2 linked regions of the Oryzias latipes genome follow. The protein of the gene in region 1 purifies or fractionates together with the protein of each later gene. This does not show direct contact. Links are inferred from orthologs where the notes say so. Each region holds a gene or a part of one and is shown on either strand. Other genes may lie near its edges. The genes, in order: tbpl1 and gtf2a1.

Region 1 (12,447 bases):
CATTTGAGAAAAAAAAAAGATCCATCACACAAACAGACAACATATCAAAGTACATTTTATACAGTTCTGTCAGCAGAATGATAAAAACACTGCTTTTCCTTAGACCAGTTGGGAACTTTGAGGGGTTTTCTATTATATTGTAATGCAATATATTTGAAGTTTCTGTGAAAGTCTATTTCTCTTTTTTTTTTTTGTACATGAAATACTTTTGGAAATCTGCCTGGTGTGACTCCAAGGAGTGGCTGCTTATGTAATAAAAACGGTTCAGCTCTTTGCTACTGCTTTCTGCAAAAAAACATGTAAATTCTGCACATTTTACTGATCTCATAAATGTAAAAAAAATGGAATTAAAAGATCAAACTGACTTAAAACTGACAAGTATTTCTGTTAAATGACACTTAAAAAAAAAAGAATTTAAATTTAAAACCACAAAGACGTCAATGGTGTTTGCACAGAGGGATGCGGTGAGGATATCTTGACTGAAGTGAGGGGTAAGTTCTGGTGGGCTCTACCTCCAGAACTTGGCTTTCTGGGCATCTCGGCGGCGTAGAGTGACTGCGCTGGTCGGTCCTCTAAAAAACTAACGGTGGACGGAGATTCCAGCAGGACTGGCCTCGGATATCGAGTTAGCAGAGAGGCTGCTCTGAGCAAACAAACTTTCACCATTGGTCACAACTGTTCAGCTTGAATATACTTGCAGTACTAAAAACGGTTCAGGTATCCATGCAGAACACTCAAAGCAGGATAAAAGTGACAGCAGACAACTTTCTCATGAACTCCAACAAGGATTATAAAACTCTCAACACACACGTCCGTCTTGACAGTCTAGTTAGTCTTGCAGAGATTACCGTAAAGAAAAGGAGCGAGGAGTTTCCTTATCAGTATTGAGTCTTCTTTTATCATGTAGGCGACTTCTTTTTGTCCTATTTGCAGAGGGGTTTCCGACACTCAAACAGCAGTGGGTAGACCTGCTCCACAGCTGTTGCAACATTCTGCACATTTGGTCCTGCATTGTCAAGACAGAGTATGAATGTGGTGACAGAAACATTCAAAATGCAAACTTTCACTGGTGAAATTTATCAGGAACTGGAATCTTTTTCTTTTTTTTTAATGAGGGCATGACCTCAATCCAGCAAACTAGTTTTCTGACAGCACTTCTATGATCCTTTTAAACAAATATCATATTAAAAATCTCAACAACAGACTGACACACATTTAAAGTCCCCACTCTGATCATCTTGGTCTTTTAATTATGATCATGCAGGTTTTTAGGACACACAGTAGTTTCTGCAGAGCGGCAGTAGTTCAATAGAAATTCACTTCTGAGTTGTGGCGGGGGCCTGTCATCACATCCCCTGTTTCTGAGAGCTCTCTGTTTACATGCTCTCCTGCTAGCTTACATCCCCTCATGACCCCACCCTAACATTAGCAATGCAAATGGTGCTGAATATCAGGGCCGTCCAGTTTTCAGACAGATGCCAGTTTAGACGAAGAAAACAAAGACGTCCGTGGATCTAATTGTCCTAAATGGAGCCGAGAGTTTGTGCCCCGTATATTTTATTATCTTCTTCAAATGGCATTTTTTCATCTGCTCCTGATTCACAATGATTTGAATAAAGAAATACTCAGAAATACAAATTTATGCTCGTTTTTTTTTTTTGTCATTTGAACAAGTTTTTATCGAAGTGGGGCTTTAAATGAGAGCAAACACTCGGCTTCCCTAATGTGTCATTCATTTGGTTTATTTCTAAATTATAAAATTATTCGTTTCCAGTTTTTTTTTTTTAAATCTGGTTGAACCACATTAAAGAAATTGTTTTAGTTTGACCTAACAAGTCTCAGGTTCTTAAGACAGATTCCTGACATACGTTTTACTCAAAGTGACTCAAAAGTTTTAACAGGTTAATACATAACACACTCTCACCAACAAACCACCCCCCCCTCCAATGGAAACATTAAGGCCACTTTTTTTTTAGGAGTTTCCAGACTTTATGGAGTTTGACTTTATTTTTTTTTTGCTTCCTGATGCCCTCTTTAGACTCCTGTTGCGGTCACGGGTAAACTAACTTACCTGTAATCGTGAGGCTTCCAGTGGAAAACACCTGTACAGTAGCCTTTATATTCTTGATTCTGTATGTAGCAGCAGGGTGAAGCTCAGGCTCATAACTGGCAAAAAATAAAAAGTTCAGCAAACCAAAGGTTTAGTATGACTTGATACAGACAGGTCAGTGCAGCTCTTTTTTCTAAATAAGAAGACTGTTTATAAAAATTACAGGGTGACAACGTAAAAAACAACTTAGGGCCTGATTTCACAACAGCAACACCAGGCAGAATCAATGCATGTTTCAACCACTAGAGGTCACCATATTCTTGCAAACAGCAAGAAAATCAACTTTTCCTTCACTGAAACTGAACAAAATTTAAACTAATAAAAACTAACAACTAATCTATGAAACCTAAAACAAAAGACTTGTTTCTAAAAAAAAAAAAAAATGGGCTCAATGAGTAGAACTTAAAACAAAAAAACTGCAAAAAACTTTAACAAGACTTATTTTAATCTCCCTATCATTGCCTTATTCTAAAAAAAATAATTAAATATTTTATTTCCACAGCTTTAAAAAATCTCAAATGTTGAATTTTACAAAATAATAAATAATGATAATAAGGCCTCTTTCACACAAAAAGGGCATATTACTGATTATAATATTGATTGATTACTTGGATTTATTTGTGCTATGTTGTAGGTTGTTCTTTAATGTATTATTTTTTTTTACATAAAACTAATCTTTTTCCCTTCCCATACAGAAAGCTACATTAAATGGTAAAAACAGGAACTAAAAAATGTAGAAAAGATATAGTGTGAAAGTTTTAGGACAAAAACAATTTTCTACTTATTTGAGCTGCACTTTACTGACAAATCTATGTATCCAATTAATAACATTAACAACAATCATGCTTTTAACAATTCAATTTTAATATCAGTTTTAAAAAGGACTGTCACCATCACTAGATATGATTCACCGATCAATCAAAATGTTTCATCTACAGATGAGTTTAACACTTTGATGTTAAATAAATGGGAACAATGTAAAATGTTTTGAATCCAACTATTGCTCTGCAACTGCTTTGCCTAAAAATCTCCAAGAAATAATTCAAAACTGAAAATATATTTGTTTTTATACAAATATAATAACTCATGTTACCTGGCTATGGGCCGGTTGTTCTTTGTGAAGTCTACCAAGTGAATTGAAAATGGCATGGAGCAAACGGCGAGCACATTCACAACCTTGAAAGCTGAAAACCTCACCTGTGAAAGGGATAAAAAATGCAGTTCCAATTCAGTTACAAGACTTTTTTTAAGGTCAAATGTTTTACCCTTGATTTGGTTTATGCCAATTTCAGCACATGTGAGTTTTGGTGGCAGACCTGAGGGTTAGTGTCCTGCAGCGTGTTTGTCCAGGATGAGTACACATTGTACATAACCTCAATCTACACCTGATCCGTACTTATCTTTCAGCCCACATTCTTTTTACAGTGTGTTGCTAGAGGTTCTCCTAGAGAACAGGAGCTTCTATATAGATGTAGAGCTCAGACGCTCATGGACTGTCGCCCACAGCCTGCAGCAAAGCAACATCTTCAGCTTTATCTGTGTGTTCAAGTGCTGGATATTTTCACAGTAGTGGGTTGTGCCATGCAGTCTATCACTGTCTTTTTTTTATACTGGTTGTTTCCTAGCAATCAGTGGCATACATTGTGTAAATGACATTAAAACACATTGGTAACACACAGTTTCATCACGGATTCAAATCCTCCAAAGGTCCCCTTAAACCAGCTCATGTGAAGTTCTCCAGAGACCATCTGGACGATCCAGAGGAGAACTGAGAGAATGTCAAACGATAAGATTAGACTAATATGGAACTCCTTGTAATAAACACCACTCGGCTTGTTTGGAAGAGGAAGAATGCTGAGTTTCATTCCAAAAACACCATGCCCACTGTAAAGCATGGGGGTGGTGTCATCATTCTATGGGACTTATTTTCTGCAAAAAGGGAGTGGACAGCTGATCTGTATTAAGGAGAGGATGAACGGGATCTTTGAGCAAAAACTTATTTCCTAAAGTGACATGATCAATGATCTTAAATCGTTCACCACGGCAACACAGGAGTGGTTAGGTAAAAAGCATTTCAAGGTTCTGGAGTGACCTAGTACGTCTCCGGACCTCAGTCCTATAGAGAATTTGTGTGTTGCCCAGCAACAGCCCCAAAACATCCCAGCTCTGGAGAAGATCTGCATGGAAGAATGGACCAAAATAACAGCTAAAACAAACATGATGAAAACTTACAAAAAGCCTTCAAACTTCTGTCACTGACAGCCAGGATTACATTGCAATGTATTGAGGTAAACTTCTGCTATTGTCTAAATACTTATCCTCCCCATCATTTTACAGCTACGGTAACTTCTTTAAAAATGAAACATTGTGATTTTATGGATTCTTTTTTTTTTGCATTATGTCTCTAAAATCTGATGGGTTTTTGTGATGAAAATAACAGATCTCTTTTTTTAGGGGAATAATCAGGAAATACTAAACATTTTTAGTACGTATATTCTTACCTTGAAGCCAAGTTTCTGCAGACAGCGCGCTAGTCTGCGAGCGCCCAGCTTTGCCTCGTCCTCACTGAACAAGAGACAAAAGGAAACTTTTAAATTATTATGTAATATCTAAATGAAAAATGACTGAGAACAAAGAGGGAAATCTAACAGACGTCTCAACTCTGTGAATAAAATATACAAGCAGTGGCACAAAAGCAATCAAATTCCATCCAATGTCATCTGATTATAATATAACTGACACTGACAGATACATACTATACAAAAATATATAGTAAAACAGAATCCTAAAGATGAATACAAAAGATTTTAAAATGTGATTCTACATTTAGGTTTGAACCACAGATTTGATTTTAATGAAAGACATTTCTATTTTGGTGGTTAGTTTTTACATCATGTTTATTCTTTACAACAATTTCTTAAACTATTTTTATTCCTCTAATTTAGACTTTGTCTGTCCGCTGACTCATAAAACAAATGTATGATAGTTTTATTAATGAAGTTGTTTAACGTCTCATAACGTTCTCAGATTTTTCTGTCAGACAAAGTGAATGTTTGGACACAAAAAGATCAAATCAGCCAATCAGTTTGAAAAATCAGTTTTGAATTTCACCTAAACTTTCCAAATAATTGAAGCGGTTTGGGTTACTGTTGATATTCATACCTATAACCTGCTAATAACTAGTTTTGTATCTTATTTTGATCCAAAATTGTTTTAGCTTCAGAATATCAACTTTTTTGATGAATTCTGCCAAGTTAGTTACAGTTCTGAGCCACACAAAATCAACCTATATTAAAATTCAAAAATCTCTTTAGTTGAGTCAAAGTGTAAAAACTTTGCCAAATTAAATTGTACACGCATACATTTTTTAAAAAATAAACAGCATCTGAGATAGCTGTCGGCATGGTAACAAGAAACTGCAAACAAATGAATCATATTTACACTATTTAATTTAAGGCAACATGCAAAGTGTGCTAAGTTAACTAGGATTCCCATTTTTATTTGACACTGTTTACCTTGTTGCTCCAGTGCAGATGATCTTTCCTGATGACCAGATTGAGGCTGTTATCCTTGGTTTCCGAAGTTTCATCAAGACTTTCTAAATAAAGAGATAACTTTAAAAAACAAAAACAAAAAACGCAACTTTGTCAGCATTATATGATGCTCTCTTTTCCACACTCACCCCTACTTCCGGCTTGTAGATGACATTGATTCCCTCTAGAGCGATTGTACGCAGATTAAGGTGACATCTGGTCCGAAACGTCGCAACAACATTAGTGATAATGATGTCGACTGCCTCATCGTTGCTGGAATCCATGAGGAAGTGTGCGGCGCAGCAGGAAGAACACCAGGCCTTTTCTCTCACACATGCATCAGAGTGGCCTTCCCCATAACTCCCTTGATTGACTTAGGAGACAAAAGTCTAAAGAAAACAGTTAAAAAGTTAGCGTTTAAAACCCCATTTCAAAATATTTTCCAGAGTGTAAGAACATTAGTAAAAAGACAAACGTTAACTTAGTGTTTCACTATACTTGAATACATTTTTCAAAAGGGTTTAAACAATGATGTGCTGTCGCCCTTGTTTCAGCACAAACACCAACTACAAACAATAATCCAGACTCTATATATACACATATTCTGGATGCATATTCATATTTCTAGTACCAGTACTCATAAGTAGTTTTTGGAGAGGAAATCAGTTATGACAATGAAGTGTTCACCTAAGCAAGTGAAGTCGCAATTTGTTAATTATATTGGCACTTAAGTATGATCTAATTACATGAGAAAGGACACAATTTTTCCTGCATTGTCATGACTAAACCTATTCGACTTTGTTTAGTTTCGAGAAATAAACAAAAGATGACAAGTTACTTATGCTAGCTTTTGCCGGCTAGCAAAAACTGCCTGTCTCTTATAACAAACGCACATTTGACAAACATACAACAATTGATTTGCTGTCGCAGTTAGGTGATCATAAATAAGTCTGTCAAAGTAAAAATAGTTTCCGACTGGTTTGTCATTTAGAAATGCTAACCATTAGCACATAACAAAGAGGGGAGACGAGGCTTCTGAATGAAAAGTTGTTAGCTACGGATGCTAACAAGCTAACTGTCGAAAATGGGTGCAAGTTCCATAATTTTTAGGTCGTTTTGCTGACCAATGGCAAAGTATGCGTTTTATAGAAAAATAAAGCACACAACCTCGAATTATGTTGATTTTTTTCTAGTTACCTCTGAGTAGCTACACTCATAAATATTTCCTTCAACAGCAGATGTTTGTTGACAACCCCTTCTGAGTTTGTTGCCTTGCATGAAATACAATTTCCGGTTTATCCTTTCAAAATAATGGTTTCGTCAGGTCAACTTCCGTCTTTAATAAGTTACAAAACCATTTAAAAAAAAGGTTAAAAAAATAGCAAAAAACAAGGAAAGTGATTTACGTTATACTTACGAAAAATAAAAAAGAACAAAAAAGCAAAATAGTGTCTTAAAAAAACTAATTTATGAATTGTGAGAGGGACATAACTTTGACCCTAAACCTATTTTTTTGTTGCTGTTCTATTAGAGTTTAAAAATAAAAACGTAAAACGTTTAGAATCAACAGATACATAATTTTAATTTAAAAAAACATTTTCTATGTACAAATACAGTTATTACATACTGTGCATATTTGGTGAGGATTGTATTAATTGGATCCTGTAAGACTGAAGAGACAATCCAGTTCCCATGAACTTTTGAAAAGTAATTAGTTTGTGAAACAATTTCCGTCCAAGAGTTCAATTAAATCAAAAAACAAACTTTTTTTACACGTTTTATGTGTACTACCAATATGCAAAATCAAATAAACTTGATTTATTTGAACTTGTAAGTAGGACAAAGGAACATTAAGCTCTGAGGAATTTGTTATCAGTCCCATCCGCCAACATGAATATAAAAGAGAAATATGTTAAAAAATTTACAGCTAGCACTTTGTCTATTTGTCTATTACTCATAAAAGTGAACCATTGCAATCATTGCATTCTCTAAAGTAAATGATCTTGTTTGGTGGATGACTGCTTTACACATAAAACTTTTGACCAGCTTTAAACTCAAAAGAAAAGGAGTACGATTTGGGAGCCATAGGGAGAATTTGTGTTATCAATAAGAGAATTCACAGCCGCCCTGTGGCAACTTAGTCAATGAAAACTGTCCAGAAATCCCTGGAATGCTGACATTCAGCAGAAATCATGATCTTTAGGGACCCTGATAGAGACTTACCAAACAGCTGTTCTCCGATTGAGATGTTTCACTTTACGCATGAACATTTAAACTGATAAGACAAGTATTTACATGAGATAAAGTTGCCTGAACCAAGCACAGTTATGAAGATCTCGCTTGCATGCGCCTTCTTTTCTTTATTTGTTTATACATGTGGAGATTTGTGACTTATTGCATTCTTATGAACATTTGTGCATTGTGTGGTGAAACCCTCTCTACATCTTCAGACAACTAAAACACTTTACTTGACTGGCCTCCTCCCAAGCAAAACAGAAAAATAGCTTCTTTATGATTCAGCCTTGTTGTTATTGTTCTCCCTCCTAGGTTACCAAATTGTCTCTTTCCTTCTCTCATTAAATCTTCTTTGGCTTCTCATGATGAAATACAGCCTAAAGTTGTCTCCATTCTGTAAAAGAGCCCCGTTCAGTTGTCCTAACATGTTTACTATAAAGGTTTAGATTTAAAGCAGGTTAGAAGAGTCAGCCCATTAACAATAATGGTGAGCGTGCATTTGTGTGTATTGTGAGAGGGCTGACGCAGGGCGCAGGAATATGTTTACAGTTTGTTCGGCTGCATATCATTGGGGCAGCTTCTTCCCAGGGGAACAATGATCCTCTCTCATTAGGTCCTAAGAAACTGCATGTAAACCCACAGATGCAAGCACTTATGACTTAAGAGATGCAAATACACGGATGGGTAAATAGACGGTTCATCACTTTGTGTGAGCGTGTCAAAGAAAGATGATGAGAAAGTGAGGCATTCCTTTTTGGCTATGGGAAAAAAACACACTTGAGCCCACCACTGCATTTTAAGGAAAAGAGGTAAATTTTCCATCAGGTTTTGAGATTTTATAGATAAGTATCAGAGATAGAGAGGGGCAAAATGAAACCTGAAAGATTAATTTAAAAAATACCTCAAAGAACACTGTTAGTTAGCGTCCTTAAAAAAACATCTGGAAAAAAAACAACTGGGAAAGACTAAAAAAAGCAGCATCAAGGGAGTAATGGATGTGCACAAGAAAAAAAAATTCCATATACCAAAACTTCAAATAAACAAATAAAACTCAAAGCACTTACTCATGAATTTAGTTCAAAGCACTTAGTTTTAAGCTAAGCTTGTTGGATAGATGATTTAACATTTGATTATAAAATATTTAGTCATCTCAGGTCCAAAACTGCAAAAAAATGTCTTACTTTTCCATTTAAAGGCTTTTGCTTGTCTTTTCATCATAGTTTTTGCTAAGGTCAATTTTGACTAAAAGTCTTAGCATCTTGAAAAACTCTACAAGGTTCAGCTTTGCTGCTCAGCCCTTCTTCAAGAGAACTTAAGAACTTCAGGTAAACACAAAATCAAACAAATCGCGTAGCAGTTTTCTAAATGTACAGATTCAAACATTCAACCTGTGCAGTCCGACATTTAACTGGCAGTTTGATCTTTTTCTTTTTTATTTACGTTCTGGGAATTGCAAATCCTGACCTTAGAATGAACTTTCTGTCCGCTCCTGAAAAGGCTGGCAACCGTGTCTAATACTTTCCAGTTTGAAATCTATTTTGCTAATGAAAAAAGAGGGGTGCTACTTATGAAACATGATGCCTGCATTGGTGTTTTGCACAGATACAGTCCAGACCAATGTTTATCTTTGGCTTTTAAGCTATGAAGGTTTTATGCCCGGTAATACTCGAGTCACTCTTTCTTCTCTAGAATCCTAGCAGTAAGATTACTGTAAATTTATCACTATGTTAAATAAAAATGAGCAAAGTCACATAATTTTTTTTCCAATCTCCCAAAGGAATTGAATGTTTTTCTTTTTGTTCAAGCAGTCCCTGTAACTTTCCTGAGAAATATAAATACATTTTTTAAACTGAGTCTTCTCTGCATAGATGATCCGTCAAGCCAGTAAACTGGGTGTTTGTTAGGACCCCTGTGTTTTGTTTATGTCCAATGCACTTCAAAGACTCATTTTAAAAGAGCTACGAGAGAAAAGCTTTGGAGCGACTTACCGGCAGAGCTTTAAAATAAACCTTTAGCCCAGTGTCAAATGGTTATCAGGTATTTGACTCTTTGGAAGACCTAAAGAAGGTGAAAAATATACAGACTGAATATATAACATGGTTGGAAATTTTCTACTAAAAAAAAAAAATATAGGAATTGTGTTTTCATTGCGATAAAATGTCAGAGAAATATGTTTGGAATATGTCTTGAATTTTTTTTTGGGGGGGAATTTTACTTGAAAACAAAGAGTGTATCTTGGTCCCTATATTTATGTGTGAGGCTGAGATTAATGGTGTGTGAGCTTGCAGCGTAAAGGGAATCCAGTGCTCGTGTAATGCTGCTCAGAGGTCTTCCAGTGTAAACAGATATGTGGGAATGACCAAGCCTGTTTATACGATCTCCATTCTTACTGGGGACCAGTCCACCAGGCATCAAGGCAAAGACAACCCACGGGTCTCTCATGTGTAAATATCCACTCAGCTCTGCAGACGACGTGGAGGGGACTGTTCTGAAAATCCACGGATTCTGCAAGGGGAATCTGACGGGTCTGAAAATGATCTTCTGGCCTGGACTTTTGGGGTCATAATCTGCAAATCCTGGATTCCACAATAATACACAAAAATGCTCACGATAAGATGAACACATCCTGAAGTCCTGATGTCATGTAAATGTTAATAAACAATATTTTACTCTGAAATCAGGTCATCCCCGGATAACCAGGACAAGTAGGGGCAAAAGGAATTACACATCAGTGATGAAGAGAAGAAAAGACATTTTTTCCAGCTGCCTGGCTTTGAACTCTGAGATGTTATCACCCCATGGACCCCGTGTCAGATTTACTGGTCAAATATAAAAACACCACAGAGTCCATGTTTAGGCTGGTTTGGTAAGGGTGGCACGACCGTGAGCTTTATCTGATGCAGCCATGTTCCACAGAGAAAGCACCTGCTATTATGAGAACAGAAGGGAAACACTCCTGCAGCTGTGTCAGGAGGAAATCCAAGAATCCCCATGAACTTCTTGAGGAATTAGGATCGGGTCCAGTATTTTTCCTCAATTTTAATGATATATTACATAATTAATATTCAGTAAAAATTATTTTCCATTACAAAAAGAAAGCTCTGTTTAAAGCTGGTATACAGGAAATTCACACCATTAATTTGCAAACATCCAATAGAGGGCAGCACGAAATGTTTTTTTAAAATCAATCACATAAGGATAAAATACCTCCATTCCATAACCACTGTTGGACAAATTAAACTATTCATTTGTTTAAGTATAAAACACAAACAAAAAAACTACAATGAAAACAAAGTTTACATGAACCAAAGTCAGAATCCAATGTCAAGTTCCTCCCAAATGACATCTTTACTCGGTGGCCCAATTCCCATTTTATTGTTCCCAACAAAAAACAAAGAATGAGGAAAAATATCTGAGTTTTCTTCAAAATAGAAAAAAAAATCTTCATTTTGACATAAAACATTTAGCCTCCGTCATTTTTATGGGGAATTGGAAAAAAAAAAAAAACACACCCTTTATATGTGCTGTAATCTTGTGACTTTAGGAATGGCCATTTAAGCACTTTCTGTAACATGTGTGGATTGGCAGCTGCATTGCCTCATCATGGACTTACAGCCTGTTGTGGGGACTAAATGAGAGGATCTGAGCCACTTTCCCATTCATTTTGTTATTGTTGATTTTACAGATGAAGCATACTAAATGGATAGATTGCAAAGTCCTTTGTAGCTCTTTGGCTTTTGGTGACAGAACAGTATTTCTTCCTGAGAACTGGGACCTGTCGGCCGTTTAGTCATGCAGATGCACAGACAGTGTTTGGATAGGAAAGGGTTCGCCGTGAGCCTTTTGGAGTGGATTCTTCCTCTCACTGTGGAAAACAATTGCTTTGAAAACAATCTGAGAAGCGTGTTCTGAACAGCACCATAGCTTAGAGCTGTTTGTGGTGGGAGTTGGGGCAGACCTGACATTACTCATAATTTGTTGTATGTAATGTGTAAGAGACACGTTTCAAAGCAAAATTATAATTATAACCTGAATCAGCAGTTAATGAACACATAAACAGTAAAACATGATTTTCTGCTGTAACTCAGTGGTGTAAAGCACTGCTAATAACCTTTTAGTAAAATTTTACTAATTATAGCTTAAGTAATGTCTGTATTACTACAGACAAACCAACCAAAATGTCATAGTTCAAAGCAGCAAAACCGCCAGATTAGAAAAGACTTTTGAACAACTGTCATGTATTATACATTGGAAGTACTACTCACACTTGATGAGGCATGTAAGGAACATTTCAACACAAATTCAGATCAAGTTAGAAAATAACAGGTGTTGAGCACTGATGACCTGCCCACGGCCCCTAACATTCAGTCATTGGGATAGGCTCCAGCAACCCTGCAAACCGAAAGGGATTTATGGCAGTTACAGAACATCATACACATTACTTTAATAAAATCCAAAGGATCTGATTATGTTGTAAGTCCCACAGAATTTTATGTTGTAAAAGCTACAAATAAGTTATGAAGGAATTGGGGGGGGGGGGGGGGTATGAAAATAATTAAGATAATCTAA
Region 2 (11,466 bases), about 10 Mb from region 1:
ACCAAATGCTCTGAAATTGCCATTTCTGAGAGGGTTTTTATTTTTGTTGTTGTTGTTGTTTTGCTCCTCTCCCTGACGAGATTACATTACTGCCGTTACGTTTAGAGACCTGCCTGAGCTGGATATCGGAAAGCCATAGGTTAGAGATGTCAAATTGCAAAGCTGTTATCGATCGGTGAGATGCCATGCAGAGTACACCCAGGTGTTCCTTTTTTTATTTAATTTTTTTTATTCTTGTTGTTTTTTCCCCCCATCCACCCGGTAAATGTTCAGTTTTTCTCCCCTTATTGTGCAATCACATTGCCAAAGAATGATTTCAAGACCTATTTCATCACTACATGTAAATATCAACGTTGTCTAATACCGTGGCAAAAAAATATATAAATGTTGTTTTATTTTGTTTTCCATTTTCTGAACAACTACAATGATGTTTATGTGATGTATTGTCTTCCAGTTGGTTGCAATAATAAAAAAAATACAAGTTGCAGAAAAGATTCTTGCCTGTTTCTTATTTGCTGGTTTTTCATGAAAATCCATCTAATTGAAGCACTTTCCTCTCAAAGTCTGAAGTTAAATATAGTTGAGGATTACTAGTAAGCATAAATCCCTCCCTTAGCAGCATCGTTTAAACTTGAAACGCCATTTACTGGCAGTGTTAGCTTTAATTCACTCTCAAACCTGACCTCAATCATTAACCCCGCACATTCTCATCAACAAGAGGTCTTATCATAACCATGCTTCCTCTCCCAGATAATTAGTCATTTACTTCGTCTAATCATTTAAGTTCAATACTTCTGATTAACTACCCCCCACCCCTTCAGGGAGGGACGTAAAAGAGTTAAGTGCACCAAAGAGTTCCTCAATGTCTTATCAGTCTGAGTGGTGCCATTTTGGAGCCGTGTGGCGGTGGAAGCCCATTCATAATTGAAGTAGAGACCGGCTTAATCTTGAGCCAGTGGCTCCCTGTGCAGCACGCTCCCATCACAACACAACTGGAGCTTGCAGCTCCTCTGTTGCTATGCAACTACAGCAAAGAAGGGGGAGTAGGGAGTGGGGGGGGGGGGGGGGGTAAAGTGTGCATTCTCCAGATCTTTAGAGGGCATCATGCTTCTCTAATGTTACACCGGAGTGAAGCTCAAAGACAGCAATGCCCTAGCCTGCATATATGATCACATCCCAAACATTCATAGCATGGATCACTCGCTTGCTTTTTGATCACGTTGAACTTTGCTTCCCCTGTAATTATAGAAGCATGAGAGGGTGATCTGCAGGGTCAGATCACCCTCTCTCTCTTTTTTTTACATCTTCTTTAGATAATTTCAGTAAACACAGTTTTCAGAAAACACTGAATTGTTTGTGGATTGATGCAAACAGTCTTCCCTAGTCTATATCATCTATATCCACAGAGTGGCCAGGGAAGCAAGTTTCCATGGAGACTGAAGTGGAGTTAACAATGTCTACACGAAATTATTGCAAAGCTTTTTTTTAAGGATTTTCCCTTTGGTTGTGTATTTTTGGATCAAGTGAATATGATCTTAAATACTTCTTCAAATGTGCACAGATCTTCTTAATTAAAGATCACATATAGCACGCTGCATGTGAAAAATATGCCCGTCTCAAAGCTCCAGTGAAACACAGGTTATTTTCATGTGATGTTGTCTTATCGCCCTCTTGTGGCTGTAGAACGATACTACAAGGAACATAGAAATAAATCGGGCTTTTGGATTCAGATTTGAACCTTTTCGTTATAAAATAAAAGTAATGAATACAACACAGAATTTACTATACAGGAAAAATCTCGATTTAGCTGAAAAAGTTAAATCAATTAAAACTTGTAACCCTCTATTTGTAAACATTCTCAACACAATACAAACTCACAAACAAAAACAATGTAATTGTAATCATGGTTAACAATTGGATAATTTGTCCAACAAATCTAAAAAGCTAAGTATCCAATCGCATTGTGAAATTTACAATTTAAACTACATTTCCCAGCACGACGTCAGTGATTAGTCATCGTTTTTTGTGGCAAATCTCGCGCTATGTGCCTTTTGACCCTGCCCTATGTCTCGCGCACTCGCAGCTCCATCGCTCAGTATATAAAGCAGGACAACGACGAAAGGAGGACGGCTGGGGAGTCGCAGCCCGGGATTGTAAATAAGACCGTTAAAACTGTGTTTTATTTACAAAAGTAATGCCGGCTGTTTTAAAGTACCTTTCCCAGTTGTTTTAAGTCTTTTTTCTTAATTTTTGGCACTGTTTCTCGCCTATTTCCGTGTGGTTTTTACACTACGCGTATAATGGCGAGCTCGGCAAACTCGAACCCAGTGGTAAGGATCAATCTCTCAGGACTGTCAACGGGGGAAAATGGGGGTAAAGTTGATGGAAAAACGTGTCAACGATCTGTTTTTTTTTTTAATTTATTTTTTTTATTCATTACAGTAAAAATGAGTTTTACCAACACCGTTATGTCCATTCAAAGGAATACTCACGGTCATTTTTTTTATACCAGTTTTCGAAACTCAATGAAAAAAGAGCTTATAGAACTGATTACTTTTGTAGGACCCGAATCTCTTTAAATATTTAAATTAAATGTGATCAAAAATAAATTTTAAAGTTAAAAGTTGCCTGTTTATACGGTATTAGTTGTTAACGTAAGTGCTTCCGAAAACCTTCTGGACATTTTTTTAAAGCTAAATTGAGTTGAAATCCGCATTGAATGCGTTAGCTAACTAGTTAAGTTAGGGGTGCTCATTTTTGTTTACACGGGGGAAAATGTCATACTTATTGTCGCATAACTGTTGGAGGGGAGGGAAACTGATGTACGCAAAGCACATATGCACCATCCACTGCGACTGAATTTAGCTAAAAAAATTTTATTAAAAGCTTGGCGTCTTGAACGCTCTGTCAACTGCTTCTTCTTCATTGTCCTCCATTCCACGACCAGAGGGCAGGAGAGCCGTCCCAAATCACCCTCAACGCAACAAATGTCCCGCTCCAGTCAAAAATGTTTAGTCAAAACGGATCCTTTCATGAGATAAACCACCGAAACCGTCATCTTCAGTCCGCCATATCTTGCTAGTCGAGGAGGGAAAAGAGGCGCGCGCGCGCTTGCCGCTCTGTAAAATGGCTTCCTCGTCTCCTCTCTCGGTTCTGGCCCTCCTCCTTTCTGCTGCCTGGTTTTATACCGCCATATTGGCCGTCTAATATAGACTGCCCGGGATGGGACGGTGCTACACGACGCTACGTCACCGGTTCTTCACATAAACAGCAGACTGCGCTTTAAATAGTGCCGGAGCTGACGGGGAGGAGAGCAGAGAGACGGACATTCGGTGTCCCGCTTCTCGTTCTGCGTAGAAGCCAGAATGTTGTCCGTGACAGTTCCCCGCGCGTGCAGCTCTGTCTCGAGGGACGCGTTTAGTCCTGCTGACAAATGGATCAGTGCAGATTATTATATATGGGTTTGGATAATCTATCCATATACACAAGATGTGACCGTTTAAACTTAACACCTCTTTTATGAGTGTTTTCCTACATTTATTGTAAACATTTATATATGTTGAAACCACCACCAATAAATTGTGTATTTGCTCTGTTTTGTCATCATAGCCTAAATTATACAAGTCTGTTATTGAGGATGTGATCAATGAGGTGCGGGAGCTGTTCCTGGATGAAGGGGTGGACGAGCAAGTTCTTCTGGAGCTGAAAACGGTAATCCGTCTCATTTTACTGAGAGAAGGTTATAACCCCCCCCCCTCACACACACACACACACATGCAGCTCCGTGTTTGGTCAGATTCATCTGGAGTCTTGTCTTTCAGCTGTGGGAGAACAAGCTGCTGCAGTCAAAGGCGGTGGAGGGCTTCCACACCGAGGAGCAGGCGGCCCTGCAGACCGCTCAGCAGCAGCACCCGCACTCCCAACAGGCCCAGCAGGTGGCCCAGGCCGCGCCGGCCCAGCAGGTTATCCAGATTCCCTCGCAGCAACAAGGCGAGTCCGCACGTTGACATACAAACGTCGCCTGGACGTGTGTTGTTTTTTTTTTTTTTCAACCTGAAATAATGTGTTTTATTCTCAACAGCTCCCCAGCAGCAGGTCATAGTTCAGGACTCTAAAATGATACAGCACATGAATTCAACGGGAATGGTGAGTAGCATCTTACAAGCTGAAAACTGCACCGCCACACTTGAGAACCAAAAATTCTCCCAAACGTCCCGTTTTGTCATCGCACAAATCCACCCGGGGAATATCTGGGATAGTATCAAGGAAGCGACGGTTAGGAAAACTAGCCGGGCTGTGGGTTTTGGGAGAGGACTTTTTTTCTCAACAAGGACCTGGAGAACAAAACCGAGAAAGGGAAAAGCTTTCTTGTGGGGAGGCCATCTGTCTTTTTGAGCTTGAAACCTAGCCGCCGCTATAGCTTTTCCTTAAGTGATGGACCATGTTTGAAACCTTTAAGGCTTAAATGAAAAGAAAAAAGAAGATTTTTTCTTTTTTTATCACCTAGAAAATCCACCTTTTTGTGCTCTGGTATAATTGGAGCGGCTTTCTGTGTTTCCTCCTGCAGACCGCAGCAGCCACTGCAGCAACCCTTGCTTTGCCCACAGGGGTCACCCCCTACCAACAGCTCATCACAAGCCAAGGTAAAGCTCTCACCGTTCCTTTGGACTTTAGCGTGGTTGGATCTCAAAACGTTTTTTTGTTTTCCTGTTGATGCAGGTCAGCTCCTGCAGGTGGTCCGGGCTCCCAACGGGACTCAGTACATCATCCAGCCTCAGCAGCAGATCGTCCTGCAGAATCAGATGCAGCCTGGCGGCGTGCAGGCCCCCATTATACAGCAGGTACAGTCCATGTGTGAGGTCATCCTTTTGAGCATGAAACCAGTCTGGGAATTGATTTCTGAAAACTTGGAGTCCTTTTCTTGCAAACGTGCAGGTTTTAGCTCCTCTGCAGGGTGGACTGCCCCAGCAAGCAGGAGTCATCATTCAGCCGCAGCAGATCGTTTTGGCTCCAGGGAATAAAGTTCAAGGGACCACACAGGTCAGAGCACCAATTAATGTTTTCCCAATTATTATTTTTTTTGTGGGATGTTGCTCTAGGTTTACGTAATGACTCTGCTCTCATCTCTGGCTGCCGCCAGGTGATGCAAGCAGCAGCGATGGCGCCGCAGCCCGGCCAGGCAGCAGCAGCTCAGGTCCAGCAGGGGGCAGCTGTGGCCGCTGCTCAGGCCCCAGCCCAGCCGGCAGCCCCGCAGCAGCAGCCTCAGGCCCAACCGCAGGCGCAGCAGCCCGCCATGATGGTGCAGCTGGATGGAACTGGAGACTCGTCCTCTGATGAAGACGAGGACGAAGAGGAGGAATACGACGAAGATGACGAAGAGGAGAAAGATAAAACCGGTGGGGAAGACGGGCAAGTTGAAGAGGTGAGTGTTGAGCCAGTCCAGGGTTTATGGTGTTTTTAACATGTTGTTGTGGCATTTATAACGGAAATTAAGCTTCTAATTGTATTTCTGAGCATTTCACAGATGATTCCTGTCATAATTTGTGATCCCCAAGACGATTAAAAGTCTATTTATTCAGTTTGAACGATCCAGTTCGCTGATCTAAAACAGATCCATCTTTAGCCAAAACTTCCACTAGTGTGACTTACCTGAGTACTGAACAATACCTGAGTACTGAACGGCACCTGGGTACTGATATTTGAGTGTAAATTAAATGTGTACAAACATGTAAACAACAGTTGATTTCAAATCAGATTACATTTTAGTTTCTTAAAGTTTGGACCACTAATGTTTTTCCACATCCAGGTAATCCAAAGGGAACATTCTAGCACACTGGATGGTCACATGACTTTGCTAAATTGAGTGTTTCCACTCATTGGACCGGAATGATGGAACCGATCGTTTTTTGCTGACATCATGTCTATGTGATGGTCGTTTTTTACATTGTAGTGAAATAAACCTGCCAAGTCTCAATCCAAATGGTATTTTCTAAGATTGAGTATTCATTTCATTTTGAAACATTTTTTTATGGTGTAGGGCGTTTCAATGAACAACTTGCCTCGAAGAGATAAACCTGGATGGATCTTAAGATAAACCTATTAAATTGATCGTTTTAATCGACCAACAACTGCGGTTTAAAAAGATCGTATTTGTGACGTAGATAATACCTCGAGCTTCCTGCTCCAAGTCCTCTGCTGTGGGATGAGGTCGCTCCACGTCACTGATCCCGCCCACAACTCGGAGGCAAATTTCTAATGAACTTTTGCCGCCCTGCAAATTTTTTTTTTTTTTTTGGGGGGGGGGGGTTAAAAGCTGCGTAATAATTTTTAAAAGACCACTGGGAACGCTTTGAAAATCGATCAAAAGATGATTGGAGTGGATCTTTGAAGTCTTTGGGTTTTTTGGTCACCAGGAGCCTCTGAACAGTGGAGATGATGTCAGTGATGATGAAAACCAGGAGCTGTTCGACACGGAGAATGTCGTGGTGTGCCAGTATGACAAGGTAGGAGATGAGCGTCAAGCTACGTTCACGTTTAGCCATCGGTGTTCACACTGGACTGTCGCTACCGGTGCACGCACTCACCGTTGGAAGAGGCTTGGTCTGAAATGTTGAAGCAGTGCAAATCTTTGCCCCAGGCCTTTTTCCTTCAGTCTGATGTATGAAAGACTTGATGTGACGTCATTCTAGCCGAGCACAAGCCACAGTTATTGATTACTCCCTCATAATCAATTAATCAAAGGGTTGGCACTTCCATGTTTTGAAAAGGACGCCATCCATACGTCCCTACTAAAGCAGAGTCAATTGGTTGAACGTTCAGCGTGCGTTCAATTGTTTCCTTGACTTAAAAACGTGTAGCGACCCGTGAATGTGACAGTTTTGACCGCGGAAGCCCAAAAGGGTTACTTAGACTTTTTCAATGGAAGTGATCGGCGGTGTAGCATCAGGGTAAGCTCCAGCAGCATCCCTCTGTTCTGAACTCTCCCATTCTTCTCCTCCTCCTCTTCCTCGCTCCTCAGATCCACAGAAGTAAGAACAAATGGAAGTTCCACCTGAAAGACGGGATAATGAACCTGAACGGCAGAGATTATGTCTTTTCCAAATCCATCGGAGACGCCGAGTGGTGAGGCGGGGGAGACGGGCGAAGCACGAACTCCTAACTTGTTTTTATCCAGCAAACTGATACTTCAGCGTCCTTTCACATCCTGCGTCCGAACTCCTTCAGGAAGGTAAAGCGAGAGTCTTTGAGAACTCATCCAACCCAAAGGATTGCTGTAAGACATGACACGTGGAAAAACACTCGACCAGCGTTTACGGGATGAGAAACCGACAGGACACTGGAGAGCCTGTGAACAGAGCTTTTTTGGTTTATTTTTCCCTTTAAGGCTTCTGCCTTCTTCTGACAAAATTCCCCCAAAACAGTCATTTCATGTCGTACAGGTGTTGCGGACCAGAAGGAACTCTGCGGTCTCTCATAACCCGATAGACACACATTTTTAATGCACTGTAATCGGTCGACTGGATTCATGGAAGTCCAAACTTAGTGCCACCAGTCAGAACCGCTGCCTTTTAGAATGACTCAGCTTTTTTTTTTGGTTGTAGTTTTGTTTCCATGTGAAAAATGAAAAATGGTGCTCCAAATTGTTTTATGTAGTCCAATCTTTTTAAAAAATTATCTTTTAGCGTCAGATCCGAGGCTCCTGGGAAAAACAAGGTACAAAAACAATCTTCAAAAATCAATTTTAATCCACAGATGTTTAACCCCGTTTTGCTGGAGCTTCATTCCATCTTTTTTTTTTTTTTTCAAAAAGCCCCAAAGTTCATTTTGGGATTGCATAGAAGATGTGAGGCTGCCACGCCGGTGTATCTCCGCTCTTCCTTTAGTCAGCTGCAGCCGTGGGAGGACTTGCACTGTGGGTTTATCGACGTCCGTGAGCTCAGTCAGTCCAGGAAATCCATAGCAGCATCAGCAGCAGCGAGGTCTCTTCTGTTCATTTGTGTGTGAGACGCGGATCGACGGTGCAGGCGTGCGATAGCTGCAACATACGTCTTTCTTTTGCACACCTTGCAGTCTCAAAATGCCAGTCACACTAGAGAAGGGGAGGGGTGCGCATCATCTATTTATTGTTAAAAGTTCACGGGACGTTCTTGGAAAGATCTGAAAGCCGCACCAAACTGTGCTCTTATTATCCAGTAAGTGTTCCTTTTTAGTTTTCTTCTTCAGCTGGACAAGCGCTACATAAATGTTTTTCTGTCTTATTTTACGCTAAACTTTTTTTTTTTGTATCAAAGGTGAGTTTAACTGGAGGGGGGGGGGGGGGGGGGGGCTGTGTGTTTGTTTCTGCAGTTTGACTCGGTTCCCCCTTTCCAGCAATCTGAAATAAAGCCTGTTTTTTTTGACTGTCCTGTCCGTTGGGTTGTACATTTCTAAAAAAGAAAACACAAATTAAAAATAAATAAAAAAGTAGCCACATCTGCACCATGACTATAAAATAACAACATGCACACGGATCAATAGGGCTTTTCTTTTCACCTCTGAATCAGCCTGTGAAATCTTTGGTTCTGCACATTTTCTGTATATTCCCATTTCTCTGGATGTCGTCTGTGCCTTTTTTTAAACTTGAGTTCTGTTTGGGTTTTCTTGTGTCTTACCCACAACTAATGGAAGGATGTCCATGGAAACTGTATTCTTTATGTTTTAACTGCTGTTGAGATATTTAAAGAAATGTAATTTCATTTAATTTTTCCTAAATTAAAAAATGTTTGCAACAAAATAAAGGCTCCTGCTTTGAATTTCCAGCTAAAAAGGGAGTTTTAATGGGCTGGAAGTACTTTATTGGAGCTCAGAATTTGAATAATTCCTGCTAATTTGGTTTCTTTGCCTTTAGCCAGTTCAGATGTTTGTCTGTTATTTATTTTTTTTAACTAAAATGCATGCTTTGTTTTCCAGGTATCCATTTTTTTACTCTGCTATGCTCCCCCAGTCTGTCTTTTCATTGCTTAAAGTTATTTAATGATCTCCTTTACCTCTTAAAAACCCATTCTGATGAAAATCACGGTAACATGTTCTTGTGGCATTTTTCTGACAATGCAAGACGTATATTGAGAAAATTAAGCTCATAATTTGAGTATTTCTGATTCCCAGATGGAGAAGTGGATGAAAAAATGCAGTTTAAAAAAGAAAAGTGTATTTGTGACGTAGAAAATACATGGGGCGGGGCCCAAACTCTGCACTCTGCTTCATTCTTGTGGGCATCCATGTACATCTTGGTTTTCCTCGTCTGAATGGCAGTAAAGTTAAGCTACAGCATTCTTGAAAGTGTCTTTAGCCCAAGGTGTTCACACTGGACAAGCAGGGAGGGGCTATCTTTTCCTACTGCTTACTGGCACGTTGGAAGAGGTTTGACTTTTCATTCGAAGTGAGCGCTTCAACGTATTGCTGACTGGAGTGTGAAGGTGAAGGTTGGGGTTGTGACGGGGCAGTGAGCTAGCAGGGAATCCTGTAAACGGAGAGCTCTCGGCATCGAAGGGGAGCGGTGTTGCTCCACAGCAACAACCCCCTTCACAACTTAGGAGGCATATTTCTAACAAACTACTGCTGCTGTACAGGACCTAGAAAACAACAGTTTTGTTTGATTTTTAGCTAAAAAAAACGGCACAATTCTAATAAAAAAAACACTGGGAACGCTTTAGACGATGATCGGAGTCCTTTAACGGCTCTTCTGCTTGATTTGTCCAGAAAGGTTTTTCGTGGTTTGAATGAATGAAAGAACCTCCACTTCTAATGCACTTTGCAGTGCCTTAACAATGAAAAAGATTAAAAGAAAATGTTAGAATTGAGAATAAAAAAAAAAAAACAGCATAAAATTACAACAGGCAATAAAAAGGTTATTCTTTAGTTGACATTTGAAATTTTATGCGCAGTTTTGATGAGATGTTAGTCTATAACTTGGGACCAGCGATGGAAAATTCACCATAACCTCAATGTTTGTGTCGTGACCTGGACACACGAGTGGTTGGTAAACCTTAAAACTCCAGAATGGCTTCGGACAAAAGCTAAACAGGTGCAAGATCACAAAGAGCTTTCTAAAGAAGAAGGAAAAGTTTAAACTAAATTCTAACATTCATAAATCATATTTTCCCCCTTCAAAAACAGATGAGTTTTCTTTGAACTCGCTGGATTTAGCGTCTTGTCTTCAGTTTCACGCTCCGGCACCTGGGTGTTCTCCCTGCCAGTCCACTAATTCCTACCCAAACTGACTCAATCCACGAGTATTTCCTTTTTGGTCATTATTAGAGAAAGGTGCGGTTCTGTCTGGAATTTAAACCAAATCGCAAACTTGCGTGACATTTTGGCCCTGGACTGTAAATGGATTTGAGACAAACTGCCCCTCTGGGTGGACGTGTCACTCCACGCCATCAAGCGGAATGTGTATGTGGCGTTTTGTGATGAGGCGGCTCCTCTTGCTGCTTTCAGGCAGCGGAGTGACGCTTGGAACAGAACCCTGGAGATGTCTAGCTAAGCTTTTGCTGCTCTTTCATTCTAGCAGCTGACTCGCAGCGACAGCCGGTCAGCAACACGGCAGAAAAAAAGATTATTGGCCTCAGAAGTTGAAAAAGCTGACACTGCTGGCTGTGGAATGCTAAAGTTACCTGCTTTCAGAAAAGGAGAAGCTCACAGAGACAAAGAGAACCTGTACTTCTTCCTCACTTCGGCCTCTGATCTCACGGCTCAAATGTGCCGTGTCCAGCAGCTAGGAGACAGATTTATTTTAAAAATGGCATGAAATTGTATTTCCTGTCCAAGTGGAGGCCTGAACAAGTCTCTTTTTCTCAAACTGTGAACTGCCAAACACCTTTCCTTAACTTTTACAATTCTCCAAAAATGAAGTCGTGCAGAAGGAAACCAAACTCACTGGAGCCGCTTCACCTGCTTTGTGCAAGCTTCTTTTTCAACTCCAAGCTGCTGCGTCGCAGATTGATTCATGCCATTTAGGAACAATTGAGGTGGGTTACAGGCTCATTTTAAAGACGTTTAGCTGAATGTAAACCTCACACCCTAAAGCCCATAGGCACATCGCTTGTATATTGTCAAAATTGACCCTTATAATCAAACACAATATAAGAGTTCCCCTCCTGTAATCTAGACATTCTGTTTATGCCCCTTGTCTAAAGGGTCAAAAATGACCCACCTTGCTAAAGCCTCAAAATAAAGCGCCTTCATTGAACTTTAAGTCTAAATTCTACTGTGCATGATGAAGCATCCTGTTCCCGAATAATTCAACGCAGTTTAATTTATTTTTCATCAAATTTTGTTACACAATACAAAAAACAAGCAGTGAACATAACAGCAAACCCGCCCCCAAACTGTTTTCTGTAATACACCCAGAGGTTTGTTTTTGCATTTATATAAGTATGAAATAATTACTTCTGAATTAATGATATTGAAAAAAATGGCTACAATCTT

Evidence for each region.
Region 2: the proteins of tbpl1 (region 1) and gtf2a1 purify together in Homo sapiens (affinity purification with mass spectrometry; 5 studies listed by BioGRID and IntAct, counting the BioPlex papers as one, with this or other methods). This does not show direct contact. The link is inferred for Oryzias latipes from reciprocal best matches to the Homo sapiens genes TBPL1 and GTF2A1.

Annotation. Positions count from the first base shown.
Region 1 is NC_019882.2:14,171,952-14,184,398, reverse strand, and holds tbpl1 (TATA box-binding protein-like protein 1), read right to left. Parts: upstream 6,938-12,447; 5' UTR 6,841-6,937; intron 6,033-6,840; 5' UTR 5,928-6,032; coding exon 5,793-5,927; intron 5,709-5,792; coding exon 5,626-5,708; intron 4,676-5,625; coding exon 4,612-4,675; intron 3,308-4,611; coding exon 3,204-3,307; intron 2,167-3,203; coding exon 2,072-2,166; intron 1,007-2,071; coding exon 924-1,006; 3' UTR 166-923; downstream 1-165. UniProt on the Homo sapiens protein: Part of a specialized transcription system that mediates the transcription of most ribosomal proteins through the 5'-TCT-3' motif which is a core promoter element at these genes. Seems to also mediate the transcription of NF1. Does not bind the TATA box.
Region 2 is NC_019882.2:4,164,458-4,175,923, reverse strand, and holds gtf2a1 (transcription initiation factor IIA subunit 1), read left to right. Parts: upstream 1-2,091; 5' UTR 2,092-2,300; coding exon 2,301-2,330; exon of another isoform or gene 2,331-2,367; coding exon of another isoform or gene 2,368-2,373; intron 2,374-3,609; coding exon 3,610-3,711; intron 3,712-3,821; coding exon 3,822-3,990; intron 3,991-4,081; coding exon 4,082-4,146; intron 4,147-4,567; coding exon 4,568-4,643; intron 4,644-4,719; coding exon 4,720-4,841; intron 4,842-4,935; coding exon 4,936-5,040; intron 5,041-5,140; coding exon 5,141-5,422; intron 5,423-6,413; coding exon 6,414-6,503; intron 6,504-7,018; coding exon 7,019-7,126; 3' UTR 7,127-7,712; downstream 7,713-11,466. UniProt on the Homo sapiens protein: TFIIA is a component of the transcription machinery of RNA polymerase II and plays an important role in transcriptional activation. TFIIA in a complex with TBP mediates transcriptional activity.